Callithrix jacchus: one gene and its partner. The protein of the gene in region 1 interacts with the protein of each later gene in a pairwise test. Links are inferred from orthologs where the notes say so. Each region holds a gene or a part of one and is shown on either strand. Other genes may lie near its edges.

Region 1 (3,750 bases):
ATGTTGGGTATTCAGTACAGGTCTCTACACATAATACAGACTCAATAACCTGTAAGTCATTGCATACGAGTTATTTGCAAATTGGCTATTTCAAACGCTAGGCTACCAAATAAGCACAAATTATTGCTTTGGTTTTTACCCAGTTGTCCCTAAAATCCAAGAATTAATACCTTACCTTGACCACATGCTGAAGAGCAGGTCTCACTGCTGTCATTAAACTGTCCTGTGCTACCACCTCGAAGATGGATGGCTGGTCATCGGCCACAGAAGCAGTTGTGATGTGAGCCCCGTGCTCAGCCATAGTTTCCTGTGTTGATTGGCTTTCGCTTTTCCCACGAACTCTCTCGTGAGCATGAACTTTTTTGAGAGGAAGGGTATCAGATGGGTGCTCAGTCTTAAAGGTAAACTTTCTGGATGATATCTGAAACTCGAAACTCAATTTTATGGGCAAAAATGAACTAGGAAAAAGACCTGTTCTGGAGGCGGAGGGGAGTCTCAAGAAGGTTAACAACAAAGTGAACTCGGACGTGGGTAGAAGTGGTATGTGGTGAGGGGGTAACTTGTCAAATGCTGCATCTCAGGGCCGGGCGTGACTGAGGGGACAGGTATGGGGGAAGGAACGCGATCCTCCGGAGCTGCAGTCCTGGAGTTGCGAACGAGAAATCCTCCTCAATCGTGAGAGCTCAAAAGCCAACCGACTCTGAGGATGCAGTCGTGCCAGTGTGAGCCCGGGACACGAGGACTGGCTTCAGCTGTTGACTTTGAGTATCCTCGCCAGCGCTCGTCCTTGCTCGCTGACTCCAGGCGAGGCGCAAAGAACCCACGACGCCACGTTTGAAGAGAGGTCTCCGCTTTATGACAGAAGAGGCACCCGGAAATAGAAACCACCAGGACTTCAGGGACGCCTGCGGGAAGAGAGGCGCTCTAGTCCCGAATGCGGCCCGGAAACCAGAACTAGAGAACTCTATGACCCACCCGGACTTCCGCTCCCACTCCGCTGTAAGTGAAGAGGGCCGCTGCGGGCTGGTTTTGGCTGTGACTTTTCCGCTGGTTTGGTTTTACCTTTCGTAGCTGGGTCTGCATGGTAGCCTCGGTGGAAAGCTACAGCCCTGAACGTCTCTCTGCAGAGGTCTTTTTGACAAGTTGTTTGGGGCGCCGCGCACACGTCTGGCTCCGGAAATAGTAGCTTGGGCCCGTTGCTGAACCCTGTGTTCCTGCAGGCGGTGGAGCTAGGGGCAGAGGGAGGAAGGATTTTTCTGTACACGCGCGGAACGGATGGTGGTTAATTTATATGTCTTCCCCTTCCAGAAAGGATTTAAAGCAACATACCAGGAGATAGAAGCCTTAGATTTATTGCTGCCAATTGTAAGGGAAGATGATCGGATTGAGAAAGGTTCATGTTTGTTCCTCAGTACTTGAGACGGTTAATTTTCATCCAAGCTGGTAGTTTAACTGTCTCCCAGGTTTTGGCTACATTCAGGCATAACTCCATGCACTTGCTATACTGGATAAAAATGTCTCCGTCCTTAAACACAGTCTGATATGTCACACCAGCGATGTGAATACAGTGCTAAAGCAGAGGGAGCTTTATGAATTGTAACTAGCATGCACTGGGGACACTTAGCAGAAGGGTTCCTTTCATGCCGTTTTTATGCCAAAACGAGTGTAATTTACCTTAAGGTTTGTAAAGTGCATTTATGTTATATACAGCTTTTTCTCGCTAGAGTTGGCTGACACAGCCCTATTGAAATTGGATGAGAATTCATCCTCTCCTCCTTCTGGGAAGTACTACCTCTGGGCTAAATAGCTGGGAATAGAAGGTATTGTTTACTGCCCTAGAGGCCCTTATGTTATAAAAATAATTGGTTTGCATAATGAGAACCCTCAAAAACTAGGTTTGGATTTAGTTATTCCAATAGGAGACAAAACCTTACAAATTGTCCTTATTTATAGTTTAAGAAGTGTTTTTTACTTGACCAAAATACATCATATTGATAACAAGATTTTTACCTTACATAATTTTAAGACTAGACATAGTTTATATACAGTACCTGGTACATATTAGGTTTATTGGTAGCTATTATGTACAAGCTTTTCTTTTTTTTTTTTTTTTTTTTTTTTTTTTTTTTTGAGACGGAGTTTCGCTCTTGTTACCCAGGCTGGAGTACAATGGCGTGATCTCGGCTCACCGCAACCTCCGCCCCCTGGGTTCAAGCAATTCTCCTGCCTCAGCCTCCCGAGTAGCTGGGATTACAGGCACGTGCCACCATGCCCAGCTAATTTTTTTTTGTAATTTTTAGTAGAGACGGGGTTTCACCATGTTGACCAGGATGGTCTCGATCTCTTGACCTCGTGATCCACCCACCTCGGCCTCCCAAAGGGCTGGGATTACAGGCTTGAAGTGAATAGCAAAAATACAAAGTTGAGAAGTAGCATCAACTAACTCAAGCAGGAAATTAAACATTGTTGTCACTTAGGGATCTTTGGTTACAAGCAACAGAAACAAGCTAATTTAAACTAAAACGGAATTTATTATAAGTGTATGGAGTAGGCCAGGAGTTGTGGCTCATGCTTGTAATCCCAGCACGTTGGGAGGCCGAGGCAGGTGGATCACGAGGTCATGAGATCAAGACCATCCTGGCTAACATGGTAAAACCTTGCCTCGACTAAAAATACAAAAAATTAGCCGGGTGTGGTGGCACGTGCCTGTAATCCCAGCTACTCGGGAGGCTGAGGAGGAGAATCGCTTGAACCTGGGAGGCGGAGGTTGTAGTGAGCTGAGATTGCGCCACTGCATTCCAGCCTGGGTGACAGAACCAGACAATGTCTCAAAAAAAATTTTTTTTACAAGTTAAATAAGAGATCTGGGAGGCCCAATCTTTTAGACTAGTTAATCGGAATGCCCTTCTGAGGACATAACAAAGACCTAAATTTTGAGGAGCCAACCATATAAGGAGTTGAGGAAAAGAATAGGCAGAAGTGGGCTGGGCGTGGTGGCTCACGCCTGTAATCCAAACACTTTGGAGGCCAAGGCAGGTGGACCACCTGAGGTCGGGAGTTCAAGACCACCCTGACCAACATGGTGTAACCCCGTCTTAAAAAAAAAAAAAAAAAGAATAGGCAGAAGGAACAGTATTGTGAGGACCCTAAGGTGGGAATGAGCTCGGTGTGTTTGAGGGCTATTATAACTAGCAAAAGGTGAAAATATGAGGATATGAGCAGTGACTGAAAGGCATAAAATGGTGTTAGAGAGGTAGATAGGCCAAACCATGCAGGGACTCACAGGCCATGGGAATGAACCTAGATTTTAGTCCAAGAGCAATGGGAAGCCAATGAAGGATTCGTACACCAGAGATATGATCAAGTTTATATTTTTTAAAGATGACTCTGATGATTTTATGGGTATGCAGTATTTATATCAAGCTTTACATTTATGGCATATGCACATTCTTGTTTTTAATTTGTTTTCTTGAGACAGAGTCTCACTCTGTAGCCCAGGCTGGAGTGCAGGGGCGCTATCTCAGCTCACTGCAATCTCCGCCTTCCAGGTTCAAATGATTCTTACACCTCAGACCCCCAGAGTAGCTGGTACTACATGTATGTGCCACCACGCCCAGCAAATTTTTATATTTTTAGTAGAGACAGTGTTTTGCCATGTTGGCCAGGCTTGTCTCAAACTCCTGGCCTCAAGTGACCGCTCTGCCTTAGCCTCCTAAAGTGCTGGGATTACAGGCATGAGCCACTGCATCT
Region 2 (3,650 bases), on another chromosome or scaffold:
GTGGTAGTGATTGTAGCTCATTGCAGCCTCGACTTCCGAGGCTCAGTTGATCCTCCTACCTCAGCCTCTTGAGCAGCTGGGACCACAGGCAAGTACCATCTAAGTCTTAAATTTTTTTATAGAGACAGGGATCTCATTATACTGCCCAGGTTGGTCTAAACTCCTGGCCTCAAGTGATCCTCCTGCCTTGGCCTCCCAAAGTGCTAGGATTACAGGTGTGAGCCACTGTGACCAGCTTAGCATCGTATTTAAAAGCTAGATGGCTGGGCACGGTGGCTCACGCCTGTAATCCCAATACTTTGGGAGGATGAGGAGGGTGGGTCACGAGGTCAGGCATTTAAGACCAGCCTGGCCAACAAAGTGAAACCCCATCTCTACTAAAAATACAAAAAATTAGCTGTGCGTGGTGGTGGGTGACTGTAATTCCAGCTACTCGGGAAGCTGAGGCAGGAGAATCGCTTGAACCTGGGAGGCGGAGGTGATAGTGAGCCGAGATCATGTCACTGCACTCCAGCCCAGGTGACAGGATGAGACTCCTGTCTCAAAAAAAAAAAAAAAAAATCCAAGGTTCAGATTCCAGCTCCACCCTAGTTTTTATGCAGCCTCTCTGGGCCTCGGTTTCCCCATATGGGGTGATAGTGGTGGGCAGGGAAGGTGGGGATAGGAGTTCTTCCCCCGGGTCACTCCGCACTCTCCACTCTGAGTTTCAGGCAGCAAGAACAAATCGGTGGAGCTGGAGGATGTGAAATTCCACCAGTGTGTGCGGCTCTCACGCTTTGACAACGACCGCACCATCTCCTTCATCCCGCCTGATGGTGACTTTGAGCTCATGTCCTACCGCCTCAGCACCCAGGTGAGGTAGGGTCCAGCCCCGTGTGGGTGGGGTAGGATGGGGTAGGCTGAAGAGTAGCCCTGAGCCAGGTGTGGTGGCTCACGCCTATAATCCCAGCACCTTGGGAGGCTGAGGCGGGTGAATCACTTGAGGTCAGGAGTTTGAGACCAGCCTGGCCAACAGGGTGAAGCCCCATCTCTACTAAAAATACAAAAATTAGCTGGGCATGGTGGCACATGCCTGTAATGCCAGCTCCTGGGGAGGGTGAGGCAGGAGAATTGCTTGAACCTGGTAAGCGAAGGTTGCAGTGAGCTGAGATCACGCCATTGTACTCCAGCCTGGGTGAAGAAGCCAGACTCTTCTCATAAAAAAAAAAGGGGGGGGGGCTGGTCTTGGTGACTCATGCCTGTATTCCAGCACTTTGAAAGGCCAAGGTGGGTGAATCACGAGGTCAAGAGATCAAGACCAGCCTGGCCAACATGGTGAAACTCCATCTCTATTAAAAATACAAAAATTAGCTGGGTGTGGTGGCACACACCTGTAGTCCTAGCTACTCAGGAGGCTGAGGCAGCAGAATTACTTGAACCCAGGAGGCATAGGTTGCAGTGAGCCGAGATCGCGCCACTGCACTCCAGCCTGGGTGACAGAGCAAGACTCTGTCTCAAAAAAAAAAAAAAAGAGAGAGTGACCCTGGAGTCTCCAACAACTGCTCCCATCTTTTGTCCACAGGTGAAGCCACTGATCTGGATTGAGTCTGTCATTGAGAAGTTCTCCCACAGCCGTGTGGAGATCATGGTCAAGGTGGGCCTTGGGAGCATGCTTATTAACAATGCATGAGCTCAGGTGGGTGCAGTGGCTCATGCCTGTAATCCCAGCACTTTGGGAGTCTGGAGCAGGCAGATCACTTAAGCCCAGGACTTTGAGACCAACCTGGGCAACATGGCAAAACCCTGTTTCTACAAAAAAAATACAACAATTAGCCTGGCATAGTGGTGAGTCCTTGTGATCCCAATTACTTGGGAGGCTAAGGTGGGAGGATTGCTTGAACCCAGGAGGAGGAGGTGGTTGCAGTGAGCCAAGGACTCTAGCCTGGATGATAGAGCTGGAACCCAGCCCCCCAAAAAACAGTCAGTTACCAAAGGAAAACTTCACTGGGAGTCATGGCTCATACCTGTAATCCCAGCACTTTGGGAGGCCGAGGTGGGCAGATCACCTGAGGTCAGAAGTTCAAGACCAGCCTGGCCAACATGGTGAAACCCTGTCTCTACTAAAAATACAAATATTAGCCAGGTGTGGTGGCGCTCACCTTAATCCCAGTCACTCAGGGGGCTGAGGCAGGAGAATCGCTTGAACTCCAAGGCAGAGGTTGTGGTGAGCCGAGAGCATGCCATTGCACTCTAGTCTGGGCAATAAGAGTGAAACTTCATATCTAAAACAACAACAACAAAACAGGCCAGACAAGGTGGCTCACATCTGTAATTCCAGCACTTTGGGAGGCCAAGGCGAGTGAATCATGAGGTCAGGAGTTCGAGACTAGCCTGACCAACATGGTGAAACCCCGTCTCTACTAAAAATGCAAAAATTAGCCAGGCGTGGTGCTGCGCGCCTGTAACGCCAGCTACCTGGGAGGCTGAGGCAGGAGAATGGCTTAAACCTGGGAGGTGGAAGTTTCGGTGAGCTGAGATTGTGCCCCTGCACTCTAGCCTGGGCGACAGAGTGAGACTGTCTCAAAAAACAAACAAACCAAACCAAACCAAAACAAAAAACAACTCTTCTGTGCTGGACTGAGGGGTTGGTTTGTTCGTTTTGAGGCGGAATCTCCCTCTGTTGCCCAGGCTGGAGTGCAGTAGCACGTTCTCGGCTCACTGCAACCTCTGCCTCCTGAGTTCAAGTGATTTGCCTGCCTCAGCCTCTGGAGTAGCTGGGATTATAGGTGAGTGCCCCCATGCCCAGCTAATTTTTGTATTTTTAGTAGAACTCCTGCCCTCAGGGTATCTGCCTGCTTCACCCTCGGCCTCCCAAAATGCTGGGATTGCAGGCATGAACCATTGCGGCAGGCCAGAAGGGGTCATTTTGAATCAGGCAGAGGTGTATGGTGCTGTCCAAATGGAAGGCACCAAGAGCGGGGCTTCTGGTGGCTCACGGGTGTGGCCCTGGCTCTACCACTTGTTGGCTGTGTATCTGCAGGGAAATGCCTTAACTTCTGTGTACCTCAGTTTCCTTGTCTGCAAAATGGACAGGATAGGCAGGCATGGTACTCATTCCTGCAATCCCAGCACTTTGGGAGGCTGAGGTGGGTGCATCACAAGGTCAGGAGATCGAGACCAGCCTGGCTAATATGGTGAAACCTCGTCTCTACTAAAAATACAAAACAATTAGCTGGGCATGGTGGCGTGTACCTGTAGTCCCAGTTACTCCGGGGGGCGCGGGGGCCGGGGGCTCTGAGGCAGAATAACCTCTTGAACCTAGGAGGCAGAGGTTGCAGTGAGCTGAGATTGTGCCACTACACTCCAGCCTGGGCAACAGAGCGAGACTCTGTCTCAAAAAACAAACAAAAACTGGACAGGATAATGTCGCCACCTTAGAATGTGGAGCCCTGGCTGAGATGGCGTAGGAAAGGGCTTGGTGAATATTTGTAGGGTGTGCAGTCGAATTCTTCATGCTGCATGCTCTCCCCTCTGATAGGCCAAGGGGCAGTTTAAGAAACAGTCAGTGGCCAACGGTGTGGAGATATCTGTGCCTGTGCCTAGTGATGCCGACTCCCCCAGATTCAAGACCAGTGTGGGCAGCGCCAAGTATGTGCCAGAGAAAAACGTCG

The links. The genes of interacting proteins can lie anywhere in the genome.
Region 2: the proteins of AP2B1 (region 1) and AP1M2 interact in binary tests that used the Homo sapiens proteins (3 or more experiments, as listed by UniProt). The two-hybrid records come from large-scale screens. The link is inferred for Callithrix jacchus from reciprocal best matches to the Homo sapiens genes AP2B1 and AP1M2.

The regions. Positions count from the first base shown.
Region 1 is NC_133506.1:98,820,435-98,824,184, reverse strand, and holds the start of AP2B1 (AP-2 complex subunit beta), read left to right. Parts: upstream 1-950; 5' UTR 951-999; intron 1,000-1,062; coding exon of another isoform or gene 1,063-1,083; exon of another isoform or gene 1,084-1,245; intron 1,246-3,750. UniProt on the Homo sapiens protein: Component of the adaptor protein complex 2 (AP-2). Adaptor protein complexes function in protein transport via transport vesicles in different membrane traffic pathways.
Region 2 is NC_133523.1:9,755,570-9,759,219, reverse strand, and holds part of AP1M2 (AP-1 complex subunit mu-2), read left to right. Parts: intron 1-704; coding exon 705-853; intron 854-1,561; coding exon 1,562-1,633; intron 1,634-3,517; coding exon 3,518-3,650. UniProt on the Homo sapiens protein: Subunit of clathrin-associated adaptor protein complex 1 that plays a role in protein sorting in the trans-Golgi network (TGN) and endosomes.